Linked DNA regions of Oreochromis niloticus. The protein of the gene in region 1 purifies or fractionates together with the protein of each later gene. This does not show direct contact. Links are inferred from orthologs where the notes say so. Each region holds a gene or a part of one and is shown on either strand. Other genes may lie near its edges.

What was found.
Region 2: the proteins of rbm28 (region 1) and rexo4 purify together in Homo sapiens (affinity purification with mass spectrometry; 3 studies listed by BioGRID and IntAct, with this or other methods). This does not show direct contact. The link is inferred for Oreochromis niloticus from reciprocal best matches to the Homo sapiens genes RBM28 and REXO4.

Annotation. Positions count from the first base shown.
Region 1 is NC_031972.2:55,355,199-55,366,642, forward strand, and holds the start of rbm28 (RNA-binding protein 28), read right to left. Parts: upstream 5,778-11,444; 5' UTR 5,563-5,777; coding exon 5,445-5,562; intron 5,305-5,444; coding exon 5,158-5,304; intron 5,078-5,157; coding exon 4,977-5,077; intron 4,893-4,976; coding exon 4,817-4,892; intron 4,706-4,816; coding exon 4,613-4,705; intron 4,512-4,612; coding exon 4,440-4,511; intron 4,349-4,439; coding exon 4,255-4,348; intron 4,158-4,254; coding exon 3,898-4,157; intron 3,800-3,897; coding exon 3,733-3,799; intron 3,587-3,732; coding exon 3,477-3,586; intron 3,377-3,476; coding exon 3,303-3,376; intron 2,848-3,302; coding exon 2,712-2,847; intron 1,394-2,711; coding exon 1,329-1,393; intron 1,197-1,328; coding exon 1,038-1,196; intron 892-1,037; coding exon 742-891; intron 556-741; coding exon 481-555; intron 373-480; coding exon 243-372; intron 27-242; coding exon 1-26. Other genes in the region: uncharacterized protein si:dkey-5i3.5, read right to left, coding at 9,515-9,876, 9,963-10,209. UniProt on the Homo sapiens protein: Nucleolar component of the spliceosomal ribonucleoprotein complexes.
Region 2 is NC_031973.2:18,111,132-18,123,053, reverse strand, and holds rexo4 (RNA exonuclease 4), read right to left. Parts: upstream 5,105-11,922; 5' UTR 4,841-5,104; coding exon 4,631-4,840; intron 4,517-4,630; coding exon 4,185-4,516; intron 4,097-4,184; coding exon 3,932-4,096; intron 2,553-3,931; coding exon 2,359-2,552; intron 2,260-2,358; coding exon 2,171-2,259; intron 2,083-2,170; coding exon 2,008-2,082; intron 1,916-2,007; coding exon 1,841-1,915; intron 824-1,840; coding exon 680-823; 3' UTR 260-679; downstream 1-259. Other genes in the region: pigp (phosphatidylinositol N-acetylglucosaminyltransferase subunit P), read left to right, coding at 5,606-5,687, 5,764-5,836, 5,923-6,041, 6,207-6,322; si:dkey-197c15.6 (putative nuclease HARBI1), read left to right, coding at 7,437-8,124, 9,612-10,042; receptor-type tyrosine-protein phosphatase H, read right to left, coding at 10,403-10,561, 11,112-11,247.

The DNA.
Region 1 (11,444 bases):
GTCTTGTTTCTGGCCTTCAGGAATACCTGATAAATATAGAAAAATGCACAGATGGGACATTTAAAGAATAAAATAAAAAGTAAACTTGACAGTATTAAATATAAGAAAGCACATTTATGTATCAGAGCAGCCGTTTTCAATCACGCACCAAAAGCTGTGATACTCGTGACATGCCCCTCTAATAAACCATCATAACCAATTATCAAATATACTAAATGATAACAAAAATCATCTTTTCTTACTTTTTTCCTCTGCCGTTTTCTTCAGTGAGGATTGTGCTTTATTCCCACCTTTCCCTGGTCCTTTTCCATCTCCAGCTGTTTGGGACTTGGGTTTCACTCCTCCTTTGTTGGCCTGATTTTTTAAAAACTCCTGCAAAAATAAACACATGCTTACTTCCTATTAAAAAGATCTGTTCTTGTTTTTAAAATCCAAAGATACTTTAAGCTGCAACTAACACACAGATCAGTACAAACGTACCTTGCTTTTCTGTTGACGCATTTCTTTTATTTTGAGTTTTCTTAAATCCTCCAGGGAGAACTCAACAATAGGTCTCTGCAAAATGACACAAAATACACTTATGCCTGACTAATCCAAGACTGCTTGTGGGCCAGGAAAAGAAATAAGAAAACAGAATTTGGTGCATAAAACCAAAAAAATTAACCACAATGCAAAGCGGAAAAGAGGCTAAAATAGTGCCGCTTCTCAAAAACTCTGCCACTGATTTCTGCACTTCTGTACCTTTTGTGAGCCAAAGATGTTAGGGTTGTTGTTAAGGTAGCGAAGCGTGGCGAGAGCATGTTCATGATCCTGGAACTGAACAAAGCCATAGCCTAACGATTGTCCCATCACTTGACCCTTCTCGGGCTTCTTGTCGTAGATGACTCGGCACTAAAAAGGGAAACAGTTGGTTTCACACACAAACAGCGTGAGAAAAAAAATTACCACAACACCCCCTGCTGGGCACAGAACATTTTTTTCCTCACAAAACTGTGACAAAATAACAATCTACGTCAAGCCCAATGGTGTAGTCTCACCTCTGTGATGCGAACTCCCTTTACTCCTTTCACAGCTTGAAGGCAGAGTGATTTGAGTTTTTTGCTGTCCACTGACTTCGGCAGGTTGTGCACACACAGGCGAGTCTTTGACACAAACACATTTATGTCCCGAAGCTTGGCCCTCTTTATTTCTTCAAACTAAGAAAGAAAAAAAGGCAACAGCAAATAATGACTCAAAATGGAAGCAATTAGAAAGACCAAGTGAAAGATTGATTATTATACAACAGAAATCATCCTGCGAGTGGAACTGTTTATGAAAAACGTACTTACTCTGGTTCTTTTGACCATGTCTGTCTCAGGTACACCCTCAGCAGCTTTGGTTCCTGGACGAATCACTGAAAGTTGAGGTGAAAGACAATAACATTCAAAAGCAATTTAGCTACATGGAGCCAGTGCAAATTCCTTTCATGCCCTCTAAAGCCTCCTTTGGGCTGTCCCACAGGAAAGATAACAAGCTAAAGAAAACACTGTGATGATGTCTTTCGCTGTAGCTTCAAAACAATAGTTCGACAACACAGTTCGTCAACCAAGGATATCCATCTATCCATTCTCTTTTTGCTTATCCAGGGGTGGAGCCTCCCAGCTACCATAAGGCGAGAGGCGGGGTGCATGGTACAGGTCGCCACACCTCTTGTTTTCTTGTAACTTTGTGTGCTGCACCACAACTGTCGCAGCTGGGTTGAAGACATGACTGTATAATTGTGCCAATTTTTACCTCCACTTTAATGATCCTGTACACAAGCTCAGAGACATACTGACACACAGAGGGAGATGCTGCAACTGTTTGAAAACTTCAGAGTTTGTGGAAAGAACCCTTGACAAAGTCTTGGCTTCCTGTTTTGACTTATAACTGAGTGGCGACACCCATCGTTTAGGAGAACACTGCAGCGGCTTTTTGCACCTTAACTGCAGGTATAAATGACTGCATCTAAGTGATGACAGCGCGGCAGTAAGCAAACCGACCACTGCGAAGGGTTTATGGGCACTTTAACACAGCAAGACAGACGACCATTCACACTCAATCACCAGTTAACCTCACCACCTTTTAGTGCATGTCTTTGGCCCCGGCCAGAGACTGATTTTGAATCCAGGTCCGTCTTGCTGTGAGACAACAGTGCTAACCACCGTGTTGTACTAAGCACCAAAAACAACCTGGACCAAAATTCAAACCTGCTGCTAAAACCTACACTTTAGGTGCATCAGAAATGTGGTTTCAGTGATTTTTAAATGAGGCATGGTTGTTAGAGCCAGATGGGCTAGTCTGTATGTTTCAGAAACTGCTGCTCTAGCACCTTTGGGATGTGGTGGAACAGGAGATTCCCATCATGGATGTGAAACTGACAAATCTGCATAACGGCGTGATGCTATCATGTCAATATGAAACAAAATCTCTGAGAAATGTTTCCAGCACTTTGTTGAATCTGTGCCATGAAGAATTAAAGCAGTTCCGAAGGCAAAAGGAGGTCTGACCTGGTACTAGCAAGGTGTAACTAATGAAGTGGCCACATAACATATATATATTCACCAACCAACAGGAATTGTGTCTTTGAGTTTTCATGCATAAGATGATGGAAGTGAAGTCACAGACTTCAATAATGTTCAAAATTAAAGGATTGCTTACTGAAGCTGCACATAAGATAAATGTTTACTCACATCCCTCTCTGGCCAGGTACAGGTTCCTCGTGCCTGTTTCGACCTTCTTTTTATCGACTTTCAGCTTCACGGCATCTTCTCTGCTCACTGCTGCAACAATCATCAGCTTTCTGCCATGTATACGGATACCACTATCCTGCATCAAACATACAAATGTTTTCAAGGCTTGTCTACAACAAGGGTTATTACACAAAAAAGAGACTCAAGTGATGCTATAAAAGGGTGAATACACGAGACAATTTGTAATAATAGTGTTCAAACATCAGTTGGACAAGTGACAGATTAGTAAAAATATTTTGCTTCAAGTTAATAACATTTAAATTACCCTCCATGTAGCTTGACAAAAAATAATTAGAAAAATTATTTATTAGTAGTTATTATCAGTTAATATATTGAATAAAAATACATAGATATACACTGACCACTCAGAGCTATCAATGTGTTGTTTAAATTCTGCCCATGCTGTTTCCACATTCCAATTTAAAACATCAACATTAAAAGGCCAAATCCCCAAGAAGTGGGTCCATCTAAACAGCGTGTGATTGCACAATAATTCAAATATCATGTACATTACACTTGATTACATATTACCTCTGCCTCATCCTGTGCTGCAGCTATGCATTTATCTGCAGCCTCTTTAGTCTTAAACTGAGCAAAGGCACAACCTGCCAACAATAACACAGAAGAGTAAGTGAACTGGTTCTCTCCAAACAACTAATAGACACAAGTGTCTTTCTTAAGGACTTTCAAGGACTGTCAACCGACCTTTTGAATGTTCTGTATCTGGGTGGAGAACAATCTTTATGTAATTAAGTTCTCCAAACTGAAGGAGAACTTCCTCTAAGTCTTCTTCCTCCGTGTCAAATGACAGGTTCCTAAATCAGTTTAGATGTAGGTGTTAAGAAAAAAGAAACAGGTCTCAAAGAGAGTTTGAGGATGTAAGAATAACAAGAAAACAAATGAGCCACAGTAAAATAAACCAAAGCTGGCTCAGGACCGAGTAGGAGGAATAATCACTGACCTGATGAAAACCGTTCTGCCCTCTTTCACATCTGAAGGAAGCTGTTTTTTCGAGGTCTTTTTCTGAGCTACGGATAACAGCCAAATACAGAATGTATGAAAACAACTTTAAAGGAAAGGAAATATTAAATATGTTATATTAAATATTTATTTATACTATCCATACCTAATTTATCTTCTTCATCCTCTTCATCATCCTCTTCATCCATACTGCCATCATCATGATCTGAATCAAGGCTATCTCCATCATCATCATCATCATCATCCTCCTCCTCCTCCTCCTCCTCTTCCCTATCATCATCATCCTCCTGTTCCTCCTCATCTTTTTCATCATCAGAATCACTCACTTCACTGCTTTGTTCACTCCCATCTTCATTACCTGATTCAAATTCCTCCGTATGCTTCACAGCTGATTTTGAACTGACACTGTGGACAGATGTGGAGCAAAAATAACCAGTGTAGTCAATCACCTTTTAACACTCATGGCAATATAAACAGAGGAATGCATGTTTGAGGTTCATACTTTTTCTTCTCAGGTGGAGCTTTCTTCTTTTTTTCATCCTCATCATCAGTGTCGCTGTCAGTGTTAGCATTTGCTTCTTCTGGATTTGTACTGGCTATGAAGCAAAAAAAAAAAAATTGTTAATGACAACAAGCTTTATATCTTGTGGAACTGGAGCACACAAAGTATTTTTGTCATTTAACTACCTGAATTTGAGGACTGCTGTGTAGTAACAAACTTGTCCTTTGGTACAGCCCAGTCAATTGCTACTGGTCGGCCTGGAGATTAAATGCCAACATTTGAAAAAAAGGAAATGTCACAGTAACAAGTCATAATGAGCTTTTTTTAAGCACACAACTCAGCGGTCTCACTCACTGACCTTTTATCTCCTTCAGGTTCATAGCATTAAGCGCTTTTGACGCCTCCGGCACCTTTTTAAAAAGGACAAATGCAAATCCACGCATCTTCCCGTCTATGAAAAAGCATAAAAATCAACCTCATAACATATCAATCCACCCCAAAGTCTGGCAATACTTCAACATGCTCACTTATGTATACTGTGTTAAGAAACATATGTATTTACCAGGTTTGAGGGGGATTTTGACCTCAACAACTGTCCCGAACTTTGCAAATACTTCTTTCAAATGATCCTCTGTGCACTGTAACACACGGTGTGTATTAGCAAAGGTTTGTGTCAGTGTGCGCTGAGCTGTTACATTTAGTAATCATGAAACATACTGTACCTTAAAGCTGAGATTCCTTATAATGAGTCTTGCTTTCAGTAGCTTTTTCTTGGAGCCTTTCTGCTGATTCTCCTTTGGAGCAGTGCCTGCCTCTGTAGGTGCTAAATGAAATAAGTGCAAGGTTACCATGGAGACACAGACTCTCCTGATTGCCAGTTTTGGAACATGTCTTCATACGAACCTTTCTTGTTTTTGTCTTTGATTTTACTCTTGGCCACTGTCAGGGACAGCTTCTGCCCGTCGTATTCTTTAATTTCTTTTAAGGCTCGTTGTGCATCTTCCTCCATGGAATATGTGACAAAACCAAACCCCCGACATTTTTCAGTCTCTGGTTAAAAAATAAATAGAGACCACAGATATCTGTTATGTACATAAATATGTTTATGTTTGCAGGTTTAATTTAATTCTACTTTCGTACGACTTTTTCAATTACTATTCTGTATGGTTCTTTCGAATAAACGACAGTACCTTTATCTCTGACCACGAAGCATTTCTTTACCGGACCAATTTCTGAGAATATTTCTTCGAGTCGCTCATTAGAAGCTGAATCTGGTAGAGAACCAACAAATATGGTGTGCGCCGCCATGGCTAACTGCTAACTTTACGGCGTGTACACCAACTCAAAAAGTGAAATGCAGTTTAATACCAATCCACCACAGGAAGCTAATGTCTAATTTCTCGATAACACGCTTATCAGTGGCATGAATACACGCCACAGAACTGTTTAGCTTGGACGTCGTTAGCCACGGGATTAAGTCGCATGTTTACTTGTGGAAGTAGCCATCTTTGAAAAAGAACGGAAGTGTATTCGTTAGATATTCGCATTCACGTGCGCCACCTATCGTCCTGGAGGTTTCAATGTAGGAATAATATGTAAATTTAAATAAGCTGATATAAAAGTAAAATTCAGCTTCTTTTTGTGAAGTACCGTTTCTGTCTGATGTTTGTTTTCACCATTACTGAGTTTCTTGCATATACTTACTATTTACTTTAACTTCCCACAATAGCTGTTTTATTGAGGTGGTGCTTCCTGCAGAAAGCCCAAAGGGAGCGTATGATGATCCCTTAATTAATTACTTCAAGAAACAAGAAGCTATTGCGGTTACCAACCATGACAGCACAAATCCAAAACAACTGATTAAGTGATATGTTGTTGATTTTCTGTATTCCCCGTTAACCACAAGAGGCCCTTCAATAGTTTACCTATATTCTTCTGTAAATTTCAGTATTGTTTTGTTTTTATGTGATGCTTATATTACACTGGATTAATCATTTCTAGGGTCTTGTGCTGATAGTAAAGCATAACTGTAATGATAATACTGGGAGTGAGCTACATGGCTTCTGCCACCAGGTGGTGTCTTCAGTAGCTCAAATCACTTTCTAAGTACAAACTAAAAATTTACAGTAACGAAAACAGTGTAGTTTTAAGGCATTGGGCCACCTCAGTTCTCAAAGCCTGTAACTCTGCTAAAAGGATTGAATACCATTCTTCCAAAAGATATTCCTTTCTTTAGTGTCACAGTTTTAAAATCACCTTGGGCTATGACATCGTTGGAGAAGTAAGATAAGATAACCTTTATTAGTCCCACACATGGGAAATTTGTTTTGTCACAGCAAGAAGTGGACAGTGCAAAATGTTATGAAGCAAAAGTACAGCACCTACCTTACAGAAACGGATTGCATCAACCCATATCTGGAGAAAACATCACAATGACTGAATGTGCTAATTGCATTGGTCAAAGGTTCATTTCTTTACCTGCTTATCACCTGTCTCAATAGTAGAATAGCTTGAAGTCTAAATGCGGTCATCAGTTCTGAGGTTAGGTGGTTAAATGTTAAGCATAATTACCTCCTAATATAAATACATACTTTTCATTTACCCCCAGTTAGTTAAAAACTATGTTGTACACATAGTTTTAAAGAACAACTTTTGTATGTGTATCTTTTGTTAGGCAAGAGTACAGTGCTTTACAGCAAGAATAATATTGCATTTCACCGCATTGGTGCTTTAACTCCTAACCCTTCGTAATCAACTTTGACAAAAAAGGAAAAATTAAAAATTACTTGCACCGGTTCAAGTTAAGAGAAACACATCTTTATTACACAGAAGTATAACATGTTACGCTTAAACATCTTCAACTTACAAGTCAGTCATATGAAAAGTGTTAACAGAAATGACTGAATAAGATTTCTTTTCCCAATTTTAGCAGGTCACATCCTTCAAGAATATTGAGAATACAAACACCTTAGAGATAACTGTATAGTTTAACACGCACACACTTAGGCTACGTTCACACTGCAGGTCTTAATGCTCAATTCCGATTTTTTGATCAAATCCGATTTTTTTGTCTGCTTGTTCACACTACACATAAAATGCGACATCAAACGCTCTACAGTGTGAACGCTCAAAGCGGCCCGCATGCGCAAAAGAAGATGTCACACACAACTCGCTCTGTTTAGACCCAGAGCAAACAATATTGTTTGACTGATTGGCCTTAATATAAAGACTTCGGACCTTATGTTTCCAAATTTTTGCTTTAAGTTATTTTGTTATTTACATAATAATGCAAATAACCTAATAATGATCCTTTTTGCTGTTTTAGAGGAGCGGTGCTTCAAAGGATAGTTGCAGATTTCTGTCAGAATCTGCAGAAAATACAGTAAAAATAAAATGTTCACATTTCTCCAATGTGGTCTTCCCAACAGTTTCACCGGATGGCAAGAAACCGTTCGCGATGTCCTATCGGGCGCTTCTCCGGCGCTGATAATTGGCGTCTGTCTTGTGTCAGTGACGTAAAAGACGGATTTAATGCGACTTGACCGTTCACACAGCAGTCGCTTTCTAAAACATCGGATACGTATCGGATTCAGTACCACATACGAAAGTGACCCAGATCGGATTTGAAAATATCGGATTTGTGCCGTTCACACTGTCATACCAAGATCGGATACGGGTCGCATAGGGGCGAAAAAATCGGATTTGATGCGCTTTCGCCTGCAGTGTGAACGTAGCCATAGACACCGACCTAAATTAATCAAATATATACTTTCATGAAAACGTGCTGTTGTAATCACCTTAGTTCTTGTTAGACTTGGTGGTAGTAACAAGTGAGGTGCTTTTTAAGGCACTTTCAAGGCTTTGTGTAAAAATGTGTAAAAAACAAAACTTCAGCAGCAGCAGTGTCAAGTAGTATTGCATTTTCTTCTGAGTGCACACAGCATGCTGTGCTTATCAGCAGGAAATTGAAAATCAGACCAGCAGTTTAACCCTGAAGCTCAATCACATGCATCAACTGTTTTTTTAAAGCACGGAACAAGTTTCTTTACTTGTAAATTACTGCAGGAAAAGTAAATGTCCAGTTTTAATTTCAAAATCATTCAAGGGTTTTTACATCCTGAGATGAGAACATAATCAACCACCAGGAAATGTCATAGCCACTTAAAAAATCCCTTAACTGTGAGGGAAAAGGTAAAGTAGATTTCAGGTGGTTTGTGTGAGTTTTCCCTGAACATATCTTGACTGATAAAAAATTACCTTGGTGCTTGTGAAACATGAGTTAATTAGGCTTTACACATTTAAAATTTAGTAGTGTTTCACCTAAAACTATGCTAATTTCTACTCTTTTGTCTGACAAAATCTGAAAAATATGCAACAAGTGATTGTATTTAAGAAGCTGAAACCAGAGATTTGTCATTTGACTTTGAACTCTAGTTGTATCCATTAATGCAAGCACCAAAAGACATGACTCCAAACATTAGACACTAAAACATCAAGCACACATCTTGACCTGTCGTGTTTCATAAATAGAAGCACTTGGAGCTTGCATGCTTGTGGCCATTGCTGTTCACATCGTTCTTTGGACTGTTTACATTTTGTCTCAAATATTTAAAAGAAAAAAGCAAAAGGCAAAGTTCACATTTGATTTGGAAACTGTATTTTTGAGGGTCAAAGAACAGTTAGGAACTTCAATGTATAACCCTCCATTTCCAAAGACATTGAGATGTTGTGCAAAATGGAATGATGTATACTGTTTTTGAAGATATATAGTTAACTGAAAATGTCAGTAGTGACCAGTAGATTAACAATTCTGACAAACCATTATGTTGTAGTAAAATGAAGATGCCAAATTATGCTGGTTCCAGCATTTCAAATGAGAAATTTAAGTTTGGAATATTTCCTGCACTTGTCTTCCCCTCCATGATTTAGTTTAAGTTAGTAGACAGTTGCTTGCCTAAAAGAAAAGTGTCAGACTTTATATTTGTTTGTTTGCTTTGGCGTACATGAACATTGTGATCCAAAGTGCATTTTATTCTTTATATGCTTTGCTTTAGTGTTTATGAAACTGTATGAAGTAAACCCTGAGTACATGTGATCGTCATTCTGAATAAAACTGAACTGTTACTGTACCTTCATAACACACACCAATTAGTGTAAAAATTCAAGATGTACTATTACAGCCCAGCCAAAGCTTAAAACATTTGAGGTTAATGTACAGTGAAGTCAAGTTCCTCTTGCATTACATTGTTGGGATTTTACCTCATAACTTCGCCTTTAACGGGGTAAAACCAAGGGAACTGAGGAATATGCGAAGTGTGGACAGATATTCCTCTGGGTGTCTCTTAAGGTGGCCCGCGTGAATGGAATTGTCCCACTTCTTTTCTGTGACATCCATTCCACGCCCTCGCCAGTAACCGGCCAAGTCCGCCAAAGTTTGTGGGTCACACAGTGGATCATTGTTACAGTAGAACATCAGCACAGGAGCGGTGATGGGCGTATTCCAAAACACATCCAAGGATATGTCAAAGTAGTCCACGGTGTGGCTTTTAAACTTGTCAAAGTAAAACATGGCTGTTTGCTTTACCAACCACTCACATTTTGGAAATACAGTTTTTCCCAAACCTGAGAAGAAAGAAGGAAAATAATTATCAATTTTGCAAGAAAAGGAAAACAAGAATTAGATAAAGTGTGAGTTAATGGTAACTCACCTATAGCCATGTGCTCAAGGGATCCTGCCACCATGCTATCATAAATCTGCCCTGTGATCCTTTCTGTGAATGCCTGATATTTATCTGTATCTTTCGACACATGCACAAGGAGCTGAGAGAAGGTATATCCACCGATTGAAAATGCATGAACAAGCAGGGGGCGGGACACGAAGCGCTCGCTCTCCAGCAACTCCAGTAATGTCTTTCCATGTTCCAGACCCCAGCGGGGCCAAAGGAACCCTTGCACCTTTGAAAAAAAGGAGAAATTCAATCAGCCTTTCAGAAAATCATTAAAAAACATACACACACACTAAACTTTGAGTTTAAAACTGAGTGAATTCATTTTTCAAAGTAAGATCAATGCGCAACATTACAGTGCTCCCACGATGTCCTGGTGGGGTCCCCTCTACTTTTGTTTTTTTACGAGTTAAGTTTCCATTGCAATCTTAGTTAAATACAAACTTTCTTCACATTTATCTAATGCAGTTTCATTCTTATAGTGCTACTTCACAGATATAGACCTTAAAACACTTTACAGTTTAAAGAAAAGGAGCCTATAATTTGACAAACTAAACGGTGATATTATGGCAACAGTTGTGGACGAAGAACTTCCTTTTAACAAGAAGAAACTTCCAACAGAGCCAAGATCAGCGTGGGGCAGTAATCTGATCACAAAAAGGGGGGACAAAGGGAGAGAGTAGGGAAAAGGAAACGATGTACAACAGTTTCATATAAATGCATCGTGAACAGAAAAGTGGGTATTATATCATGGGAAGTCCCCAACAGCTGAGCCTACAGCAGCATAATTTTTGGATGATTCAGGGTCATCTGATCCACCCCAACTATAAGCTTTACCAAAAGGAAATTTTTAAGTCTAATCTTCAAAGTACAGGTTGTCTCTCTCAACATGGAACTGGTTCCACCGGACAGGGGCTCGATAACTTTTTAAGGCTCTGCTTTTGGTAATTCTGGGAACCACAAGCTTGCACTCAGAGCACATACTTCTAGAAAGACTATTATTCATTAGCCGCCCTGTGATGCATTTTAGTGTTAAGTGCAAGAATGAAACATTGTCATTCAGGTTCTCATTCCCGTCTCTTGCCCCACTGATTGCTAATATCGTACACTCCTCTCTTATATCTGGTTCTGTTCCTTCTTCTCTTAAAACCGCAGTAATAACTTCAATACTGAAAAAGAATGGTTCAGATCCCTCCAATCTAAATAATTTCAGGCCAATTTCAAATCTCCCTTTCCTAGCAAAAATTCTTGAAAAGATAGTGGCTGCACAGGTTCATCATCATCTCATTGGAAATAACTTGTACGAACAGTTTCAGTCCGGCTTCCGTTCATGTCACAGTACAGAAACAGCCCTAGTAAAAATCACCAATGATCTTTTGCTTGCAGCTGATTCTGGACTTATATCCATCCTCATTCTCCTTGACCTTACAGCAGCTTTTGACACTATGTCCCACCGCATCCTCC
Region 2 (11,922 bases), on another chromosome or scaffold:
AAGATGCACATTTGGTTGCACTCACAGTAAACAGTAACGTTTGTCCTCTTTAATGGCTTTTCTGATGTTTGTCAGAGAAATGGGAAATGAACTCTCCGTAATCATGAACCAAATGTGAGGCAGCAACTCATGTCTTGACATTAACTTGCATTAAATGCAGTTTAATAAGTTTTTTATAAAAAAAAGAGTTTGCATTGCTCTGAACCTCCTGTGGTTGTATTAGACTGTGAGGACAAAGAAATATGCATAGCAGAGTTAAACGAATTACATCTTTTGTTTTATTTATACTTTAAAAACAGACATTTTTACAAACTGTATATAAAGACTCTGTTCTAATCCCTGCATGAGTCAGTCTGGCACACTGAGGAACAAAACTTCTTGATTTGCAACTCGATAAAGTCTTTCACAACCTGCAACGATCTCCCCGAGCGACTTAGGCTGATGAAACCGGTCACTATCTGCGAAAGCATTTAACACGCTTTTTGTTGCGCCAGATCTCACAAAAGCTCAGCAAGTCACGCTTTTATACAATCACAGGTTCAACATCCCTCACATTAAAATAAACAAAAATACATAGTTGTTTTTTCTTCTTAAAAGAATCCTCTGATCACTTCAGTCAGCTCTGCTCTCATCGGGAGATCATCTGTCCTCTTGCTTGCTCGTTTTGACTTTATAATCCTCAGTGGTTCTTGTCTTTGGGAAGCTTGGCCTTTCTCTCACTCCTCTTATCCAAGAATTTGTTTTTCCTGCTCGCTTTAATCTCTGCCTCCCACTGCTTTTTCACCATTGTGTACAGCCTCATGGTGGCCTGTGCGTCTTGGACCTGGAGAAAGCAACAGGCAAAGATCAGCCCAAGTGTTACTAACATTGTTGGGCAATAACACACTGGTGTTTATACAAGTTGTTTTTACATGCTGGAGTAGTGCCGAGTCAGTGATTTTAGTCCACTGTTGGATGATGACATCATGAGATCAACAATAAAGTTTTCTAGATATACAATAAATGTTAATGTCATGAAAACAAAGTGACACGATGCTTTTGTAAGATGCTACAAGTGCTAAAATGATGCAAATTGACCATTTGGGTATGTGGTTGCTAGGCAACAAGATTATATCATACTATCTTCAGGCCTTCAGGGGTCAAAGATGTACCCGTGTGTATACCTGGGCTGTTCGATATAACGATATATATCGGCTGACGATATGAAAACGTCTATCGTTTGTTTCATGGTGTCGCAAAATAAACTGTTTACGGCAATATTTTGTCATCGCTTTTATGTAGTATTAATTTGTTAAAGTTCTCTCTTTCTCTTACATTTAATATAACCACACTGCAGACGGACAAGCGACTGCTTTTATGCGTTGTCGTTAGCGACAACGACGGTAAAACCATAGCGTGGCTCCGCCGTCTGCTTGTTTATTTTCCACATAAACCTTTCACAATAAAGCTGAAGATCCTGTTGAGATTTTTCAAAATTAACTGAATCACGTGAAAGAGTATGCAGAGAGTTTATGGATGAGAAGCAAAAAAAGAGCCATTAGGTGCTAAACAATAAACCTTAGGCTCAACTTATGTCTAAAAATGTATAGTTTCATGCATCGGTCAAAACACTTGACCTCAGGTACAGGACGCCCAGCTGAAAACACTTCATGCAAATCGAGTCGCCCAAGATTCACAGAATTTACAGAAAATGTAACATTTTTGTGATATATATCGCTGTCGGGACAATAACTGTCTTATATCGGGATATGAGATTTTGGTCATATCGCACAGCCCTACACGTGTGCCAGTTTTCGGTCACTCAACCCTGATAATTTAAAAGGCTTTTCGAATGACTTACAGATGAATGTTCGCCCTCTTGGACATTCACATCGAGGATTTTTCTACAAAGGAGCTTGAGCGAGGGTCGACCGCTCTAAAACAAAAAGAAAAACGCCTTATTATCAGTTATAATTCATTCACACATTCACTGCGTAAACTGTTGAGACATTGGTGACTGCATCATACCTTTGCGATCGTCTTGAAGGGTTTATATTTCTGAGTATCTCTGATTTTCTTTTTTGGATGATCCAAGAGCAGAATCTGAAACAGGAGATAGTTTGTGGCTGCTCATAATCAGGCTAAGAAAAATATTACATTTGTTCTATTTCCGATATCACATCCATGCTACCTTTAGATCATTGTGTATGGCGTGTCCAACCACTAGTCTCCCTTCCAGGATGTTAGCAACCTCCCTCTGTACAATCTGTACATCCGCTCCTGCAGAGAGACAAACGTGGTTTAAAAAACATCAGAAACACAACATAAGAAACAAAGAGACTTTCAGTTGTTCTTTGCAACTCATTTCATTTCTCTCACCATCTTTGATGTCCTCTGGCCGGATGCCGCTGACAGCTGTCCTGTAGTCTGTTACCTTCTCTGTGGGCTTCACATATTTGTCATAGATGCACTTCCCAAACTGGTTCACAATTGACACACGTGCCAAGATGCTGTCCTCTCCATCAGGACCAACTCCCACCATCTCACAGTCAATGGCCACCGCTTTAGTGAGGCTTAAGGTGAACGACAAAGTGACAAGAAAGGAGAGACATGACAATCATCATCTTCTGTCTCAACGTAAACACCTCAATGTAAAGGCCCCAGTACACCAAACGCAAAGGTCGCTTTGCTCGCTCCAGCAAGACTATCTCACAGTCAGTCGTATTTATACCCGCCATGAAGGCGCAGGAAGCTGCTGCAGTATTCTCCTGAATGACAGGTGTCAGCAATCAGACAATATCGCCACATAAGTGCTGACACAGGAGGAGAAGTTGTCAAAATCGGAAGCCGAGACTTTGTCGAGGTTTTTTTTCCACAGTTTTTTCCACAAACTCAAGTTTTCACACTGTTCCTACATCTCCTTCTCTGTATATCTGCATGTCTCTGAGTTTTTGTGGCGGAATATCCTTAAAATGATTGTAAAAACTGATACAATCGTACACTCTCGTCTTTAACCCTTGCTCAACGCTTCAGGTTACAAAATTGAGAGGCGCATGACCGGCAGACACAGCATAATAGGGTCATACCTTTTGTGACCTAGCTCAGAATGCATCCATCCATTCATCCATCAGGGGTCACAGGTTTTTCCACAGCATTTATCTGTATTATCAATGATTTTCCACAGCAATGTAGTGAGCTCTGAAGCTGTATTGACAGGCTACGTCACCGCAGTGAAGGATTTAATTGTATAAATTCCATTCAACAATTTATCCATCTCCATAACCCGCAGAAAACAGTCAGCAACCATGTTTACTTCATGCTCTGTCCAGACAATTCACTAAAACATGCAATGGCAAAAGTATTTATCACAGACTATATGTAATACTTGACTCCTTGAAGGAAAGCTCCATGAAGCTCTCCACTGAGGGGGAAAAAAACAGTCTCCATCTCCTCAGGAGTGTAGCTCAACTTCATACAGAAGGAGTCCCTAAAATAATTGGATGTCTGATCTTTGACAGCAGATCCAGAGAACTGTAGAAGGTGGGGGGGGGATTGATCATTTACTTTGAGCTTCTTATGCATGAGGCACATAATGTTGTTTAAACAGGCCGAGTCAGTTGAGCGGTTTCAGAGATATTAAAGTCTATATGTTGGGAAAAACACATTTTGTGTGACATTTCCCAAGTATGACATCATGTGCCAAATCCACATTGTTAATATTACATCCACAGTTACTCACAGCCAGCTAATAACACCACGGCAGCAACATTCCTGTGAAATACTTGTATTGAGAGAAGTAATGACATTAGGGACTTGATATTTTTTATAATCGCTGTTAAGGCGTGCATCTTTCCCCGGGAATATTTTCACGCACTTTTCTAAAATGGCATCAAAGCTGCCCGCTGTATTCTGAGTGTGGTTCTCACTGTACACTGAATGCACAGCGACTTACCCTTCAAAAGCATTCTCCTTAACCAGGCTCTTCTCCGTGTCCTTAGCCGAGGCACCATCCGTACCCTTGGCCTTGCCCTGCTTCTTCCTCATGATCTCGGCTGCTTCTGCTCCCATTGTCGCCTCAATGTCATCCGGGTCCACGTCATCAAACCAAAGGTCCTCTCTGCAACAGCAGAGAATGAGATGGGATTATCAGACAAAAATATTCTTGCTGAATAAATGAGTCAACTTCAGTGCTAATATATACATACTCTGTGGGCTTTGTCTCCTCGGATTCAAGCTTCTTCTTCTTAGCTGCCTGTAGGCTGTTTGGCTTCCCGCTATCCCGCTCTCTTTTTGGAGCAGTAGCATGTTTAGTCTTCGAGACATCCAACACCTTTGAGTTGACCCCAGTCTTACCGGAGACAAAACTCTTAGGCACAGTTTTGTGATCCGCTTTTTTCTCAGTGTCTCTCTGGCTTGGTCCAGCATTGTTCTTAGAAATTATTTTAGAAGTATTTTCTTGGACCTTCTTTGGCAAGAAGCCGTTCTGATGTTTCGGTGCCACTGGCTGCTTCTTCTCTGACTGACTGGCCTTCAACACCTGAAGGGAGGAAAATAAGGGAGAAAAACCTGTGGGTAGTATTAAACACAGGCACACAAAAACCAAATTGTGTGACAGGACATGCATGGATATCAAACTACTGCACTCACTGACCTCTTGAAGTGCTTTCCAGTTGGCAGAGAACTGCTGGGAGTCTTTTGGAGGAGCAGTTTGTGGAGCTGTAGGCTTTTCTTGCTCCTTGTTTGCAGGAGCTGAGTAAAACCACTGCCTCTCGTTCTTTTTTAATATGCCGTTTTTCTTATTAGGTTTCCGCTTACGTGCTTTAGCGGGAAACTGTTTTTTCTGTTTCTCCACCTTAGACATTATGATCACCTATCTCATGTATCCTCACCTCCTTATATTTTTCGTGGTGAGGTGTGTAAAGCCACGCTGGCTTGTCAGATGTCCGTTACTTGAGTTGCCAAACAACTTCAGACAGTAAGAAATGTCTCCCCCAGACTAAGCTCACCTTTCGGCCAGCACACGAGCATTACTGAAGCACGTCCCTGAACTGTACATAAAATCGCTTACTCGTAAAACTTAACTCTCTCCGAAGCCATGCCGTTGAGTGTTTTTCCACGATGTGCAACAGTGAAATATGTCCGTCACAAACATGACGTCGTGCTGTAGCTCAAGTGCGTCACGTCAGTAAGATGTGAAAAAAAAATCTCCGACCGTGCTTTTGCTTTACAATTATATAAATGTGAAATTTTATATGATAAACGTAAAAAAGTCATGTTTTGACGCTTGTTTTGTGAGCGATTCAATGGCGGAACTAATGTTTTAGAAAAAGTTTCGCATCGTTCTGAGGAAAAGTGACGGACCGTTGCGGAAGGCTTCATAGCACTAATGTAAAAAAGGCACAGTGGGTTTTGATAGACGTGTTAAACCCATTTTGTATTGCTTTTGATAATCATCAGGCATATAATTAACGTGGTAATTAATGTTAAAAATCTGAGTAAAGTTAGGGTTTAAAGGAGCAAAGAAAAAACGTATTTCCAGGTATGTAACTTCTCTTTGGGGCCTGAATGTTTTATTGCTGTCTCGTTGCTCTCCCACACCTTTCTGTCTGTGTTTTGGTTGTAGATCATGGTGGAAAACTCTCCATCTCCTCTGCCTGAGAGGGCCATTTATGGGTTTGTTCTCTTCCTCGGATCACAGTTTGGCTTCTGTAAGTGAATCAATCCAAAACACAAACAGGAGTTCAAGCAGTGCATGTCTGTAATACTCACTGCGTCTCTCCACAGTTCTGTATTGCTTATGGGCTTTCGTGCCAGAGGAGTGGCTTCATTCAATAGGGCTCACTTACTGGCCTCAAAAGTAAGTAGAACTGCTCTGAGATAAATGGATCACTGGGGAAGCACCTGCACAGTTTCACGACAGTGTCAAATGTGTGTTCTGTTTAGATACTGGGCTCTTGCGATGCCAATCTACTTGCTGGTCGCAATAACAGTCTGTTTCATACTGTTATTCGGTGTGAACATGCGCAACACGGCACCGCTGGACTCTGTGGACAACATCACAGGTGAGGACGTCAACAAAATGTTTTGTTGATGTCAGAGATTGTTGTGTGGGGGAAATCCCAGCAGATTACCAGCTTCTGAAATATTCGGACCAGCCCGTCTGCCACCAACAGCCATGCCACATTTTCAGAATTTCCTGATTGTTAAATGTCTTTTTTCTGTCACAGATGTGTATGCACAAGGCCAGAGCACCGAGTCCTGCCGTAACGGTGGAATACCCCGATTGAAGGATGTGTCCATTAGTGAAGTCAACAAAATGTTCTATTTATCACCCAGTATGTAACAAGCACAGTCTGATACTGCTGTGGACAGAGAAGAAGTAAAGCTGCAGGGGTTTTATTTTGGTGTTACTGTTTGTCTTTTTTTATGAAATGTTTTGTGCCTTATTTATAAGAAGATATATTCTGTTGACTTTTTTATTGTTTAAGCATCTTTATAATGGTTAAATGTGAATTCTGTATCCGAACACACTGGTCACAATAAGATGTATATTGAATGAAAACAACAGTAAATGGCTGTGCTGTCTATGTTAAAATACAGAATGTTTATATTTATTATTCTGTGCAATAAACATGTCATAAATAATCATATTTTTATGTTAATTCTTTTATTTTTAAGTCCACTGCTAGAAGAAAGGAACATCTTATTTTGTTCTAATACTTTAATGCCTGTCAGAAATGTCGGTCTAGAATAAAAGTGGCTCCAGATAATTATTTATGCCCATCCAAATCTTACTAAAGCTGCAAATGAACATCTGCACTTGATTATCCCAGAGAATAAGAGGTAGTTTTTAGCATTTTATCCCACACTACATTTTTGGTTTTTGGTCACCAGCCACTTTATTAGGTACACCTGTTTAACTGCTTGTTAACACAAATATCTAATATCTGAAACTCAGTGCATTTAGTTATGTAGACATGGTCAAGACGGTGTGTAATTTTAGTGACTTTCAACGTTATGGTTGTTGATGACATATGGGCTGGTCTGTGTATTTCAGAAACCGCTGATCTGCTGGGATTTTTCCACACAACTGGTTTACACATTGTGAACTGCAGTCTTTTTCAAATGTTTTTTATTGCTGTCCACTAGGTGGCGATAACGGATCGCTTTAGCTTAAACGTTAAACAAAGACGAGGCAACCAGGAGATTTGTTGTTGCGCTTTAATCAGCCTGCATAACCGGAATAAGATTACGAAACTGGGCGAGTGTCCGCATAATCCTGCAATATATAACAACACAGATGTCGAAACAGGGACACAAGTGAACAGCAGAGGGCAGCAGCACGCCGCCCAGCGTCCAGTCTGCCAAGCCAAAGGAGAAGAAGACGTTGTTTGGGAACGATTTCGGGCACGCCGTGGGGGATCTTTGCTTGTTTAAATACATCGGAGTAAAAACTAATGGCTTTCGCCGTGCCTGTCTGGCTTGCGGTCCAGGAGGAGCTCCTGGCACAAAACGAGGCAGACTACGGAGCTTCGAGCTGCTTTGACACTTTCGACGATGAAGCTCTTTTTCAGTTGTTCCACCTGAGCAGACCCTGCATCCTGTTTATCGCAGACGCCGTCCGCATCCGCATGAAGGACGCCGCCCCCAAGAAATCCCAGCTGCCCGTGGACGAGATGGTCATGGTGGCGCTCAATTATTACGCACATGGGGTCTCCACCACTGCTGTGCTGCAGAAAGCCGGACTGAGGCAGACGGAGTGCCCCACGACTGTGGTTGGTACAATCTCGGGAGTCATAGCAGGGATGTCCGATGTATTCATCTCTTTCCCGCTAACCCTGGACGCCAGAACTAACGTCGCATTAAAGATAGAGAAATTCTGCGGAATCCCAAACGTGCTGGGCGTCCTGGCTCCTGCGCACTTCAAGATCAGAGCATCTCCATATGAAAAAGACGCCTTCAGGTCTTTTATCAATGCCCTGGGTTACACATCGGTTGTAAGCCAGATCATATGCGACTGCGACGGCAACATACTGAGTGTTGAAAAGTGCTGTGTTGGTGGCACGTTTGAGCAAGAGATGTGGGACTCCTCCTTTAAAGGAAGGGAAATGCAAGAGGACCTGCACAGCCCGTTTTGGTTGATTGGTAAGAGCAGTGATGACCTCTTGTGCAAATGTTTATTTAGAAATGTAAACTGGAGTGACAGCACAGTGAGGTATCAAGTCAAGCATAAAAACCTACAAAACTATCATCCGTTTGCGTCTGATGACGACTGGTTGCCTAGCAATAAGAAGCCGCCCAGGAAGACCCCACCCCATCATCTAAACTATCTGAAATTCTGCACTTCCCCTACATGGGTCACCCAGCAATAACCCTTCCAGAAAGGTGTAAAGATCCCTTGATTAAGTAGAGGTGTATGAGGGGATGCAAAGATACAGATATAAGTTAAGGCAATGAATGCAAAACAGTTATTCCCAAAAAGAACGGATCTGCTCTTTAGTGTTTCTATTCCCAGAAAAAGGCAAAATTGACAGTTGTCAAAAGTATTAACTTCTTGGCAAACAGTTGATTTCTCTGGAATATTTCATTCTTTTTACATAAAACACAAATAAAATAGTGTTTTAACTTCTTACACATAAACTTACTGGACATGTTATTAATGCATTATTACGTTATTATTCATGGCCTAGATTCAACAGGGTGATGGAAAATTTCGTCACAGATTTTGGTCAATGTTTCTTGATTCATATCAGATTGCTGCAGATTTGTCAGCTGCACATCCATAATGGGAATCTCCCTGATCACCACATCCCATTCTTCTGTCGTCCAGTTTCGATGAGCCAGTGCAAACTGTGACCTCAGTTTCCTGTTTTTAGCTGACAGCTGTTGCACCCATTGTGGTCTTCTGCTGTAGTAGCCCATTGGCTTCAGGTGTTGTCACAGATGACCTTCTGCATACCTCAATTGTGGTTACTTTTGCCTTCCTATCAGATCAAAGGAGTCTGGCCATTTTTCTCTGACCTCTAACATTATAAGCTGTTTTCTGCCAGGGAACTGCTGCTCACTGGATATTTTCTTTTTCCTACCATTATATGTAACTCCAGCGCTTGTGTGAGGAAATCCCAGCAGACAGTTGTGAAATACTTAGACCAGCCCATCTAGCATTAACATCTCACATTCAAAGTTCTTTCTTCCTCACTGTGATTCTCACTTTGAGTTGTGGAGGCCATTTCAGTACAGGAAACTCATTTTCATGCTCAAGAAACCCGTTTTACATGAATTGAGCTTTGTGACATGGCGACTATCTTGTCTAAAGGAGTCAGTAGAAGATTGGTACACTGTGGTCATAAAGGGATGGACATAGTCAGCATCAATACTCAGATAGGCTCTGGCATTTAGATGATTCTCAGTTTGTAATCAGGGATCAAAGTATTCCAAGAATGGCTATTGCCTAATTTTAGTGAGCCCATGCAAACTGAAGCCTCAGTTTCTTGTTCTTAGAATGAGCTCTCACTAGAGTGGCACCTGTGTGGTCTTCTGCTGCTATAGCCATTCTGCTTCAGGGGTCCACATTGTTCAGAGATGCTATCCTGCTCTGATATTCACTGCATTCTCTTATGTTTCATTTAAAGGTGGGAAAGGCTACCACTTAAGCAAGCACGTCTTGACTCCTGTATCACTGCCCGCGAACAACAACGAGATCCGCTTCAACGAGGCCCATGCAAAGATCCTCGATGTCATGCAGACGACACTGGATTCCATGAAAAGGCGTTTCAGGTGTCTGATGCAACTTGGTTTTGCACAAGAAGGCTCACTTAACAAACAGTCTAACATTATCAAAGCATGCAGTGTGCTGCACAACATTGCTAAAAAGTTCTCTGTCCCTCCCCCACCTGACGCTGGTAAAGCTGAGCCGCTATATCCTGGCAAGCAGCAGTCAGTGCCAGTAGAGATCAAACAGGAGGCCCTCAAAGCCAGACAGGAAGTTATTAATAGTAAATTCTCTACTGTGTCCAGCAGTCAGGACCCCTCAGGTAGCAACGTCACAGAAGAAGATGCATAAATGGTTGTTTCTGGTCTATGAAAGAGGATCAATGACACACTGAAACCAAAACTCAGCTTTTATATTTCTGTGAATGTGAAATATTATATTTCTTTTGTTTTGTACTTATTTTTAATAAATTCATTTTTGAAACATTTTCAATTCATCAGTGCTATTTTCTCACATAAAAACAATGACAACAAAAATAATAATATTACATATTTAGAAGAGATGCAAACTAAATAAGATCTGAAGTGTGCAATGCATATACAGAAATAGTTAAGATATAATAGTTTGTATTATTAAGTTTAAAACCAACATATTGCTTATAGACAAATAGTTTTTCATTAAGTGCATAAAAGATTGAGTGCAGGGTTGACACTACGCATTTCCGTTTTGCCGACGGAGCTCTTGGAGGGCAGTGGCATTGACGTATATCATATCTGCGTTCTCGTACGTGTTCTCATAAATGTTCTCTTCATTTGTGTTTTTTGGTTGCAGACTGTCCATGATGCACTGGTGCAGAAAAACGTACTGAGACTGAAAAGGAAATACCAGAAGTTGTTGGTCATTTGAAATGCAGAACTTCTGCCAGGGGAGATTATGATAGTTTCTTGCAGGCAACATTGCCAAACAGTTTCACAATAAAGCATTTCATTTTTTTTTTAATCAGAAACAAAAAGGTCCAATAAGGCTTTGTTTTATGAAAACAAATTTTCAGCTCACATACTTAAAAATATGTAGACATAGACCCTTAGAGATTGTTTTGCTGTCTAAATTACTAAGTAACAAGTGCAATTAACAAACTGGGCATTAAATATATTTTAAGCAGGCATCTGTTGATAATACCTACAAAGTCTGCCTTGTTCTGAAAAGTTGAACAATAGAAAAAATCCTTTTCAAACTCATATTTTAGGATGAAAGGATCAAAAATGAGGACCCCAATTAAAAAAACAAAAACAAAACTGCATATCTTATGATGACTAAAATGCTGTCTGTGTGTTGTTTCACCAGCTGTAACTATAAAGACATACATGGTTAGCTAATTAAGGAAGTGGTGGCTCAATCAGAAGCAGTTTAATACAGTTACCTCCGTCTGCACCATGTATGGTCGGTTCAGTCTCATCTTGTGTACGAAGGCATTGATGCCGACTGCTTGTTCTTTCTCCAGCTGCTGAAGCAGCACATCCAGGGAAATGATAGTGCCAGTTCTCCCGACTCCAGCACTAAGAGAGACACAAGCATCATAATAAGATAGCAAAAGGTTTTTAAGGTCACATAGAAAACTCTCATCACTGTGTCTGTGCCAAAGTTATTATAGTTAACAAAAACTAAACTAGAACATACAACTAGATGTGAAAACTGTTAAAATGAAGAATTGGACTTTTGAAAAAAGCGAAAAACTATCATGTGCAATACTGTTCCTCCCTATTGAGGAAATGTCTTTAATTGTAATCTTTGCCCTTTTGGTCAAAGTTGTCATCATAGTGAGGCTTTAGTGCATGTGTTTGCAATTTGTAATGTAATATCTGCTCAAAACTTTTAAAAATATACCCCTGACAAATACCCTAAATGTTATAATCATAAAAAACCCACAGAAACTAACGAAAGCTAAACTAAAACGGAACATTTCCAAAGAGTAAAAACCAAAGTGAAACTAGTAAATGCAAAATGAAACTCAAGTGAGCTGAAAACAAGACATCATGACAGAAAGAAAAACGGATTAGAAAACCTGAAGGACACTGTTCTGACACACACTTTTAATCACAGACAGGAGTGTTTGGGAATGTGGGAAGATTCCAACCCTTCACCTGCTCCTAATACGCTGCCTCGAAACATCACATTATACTTTTACAGTATCAGTCACACACTGTACGTGCTGTGTTTTTGTCACATATAGT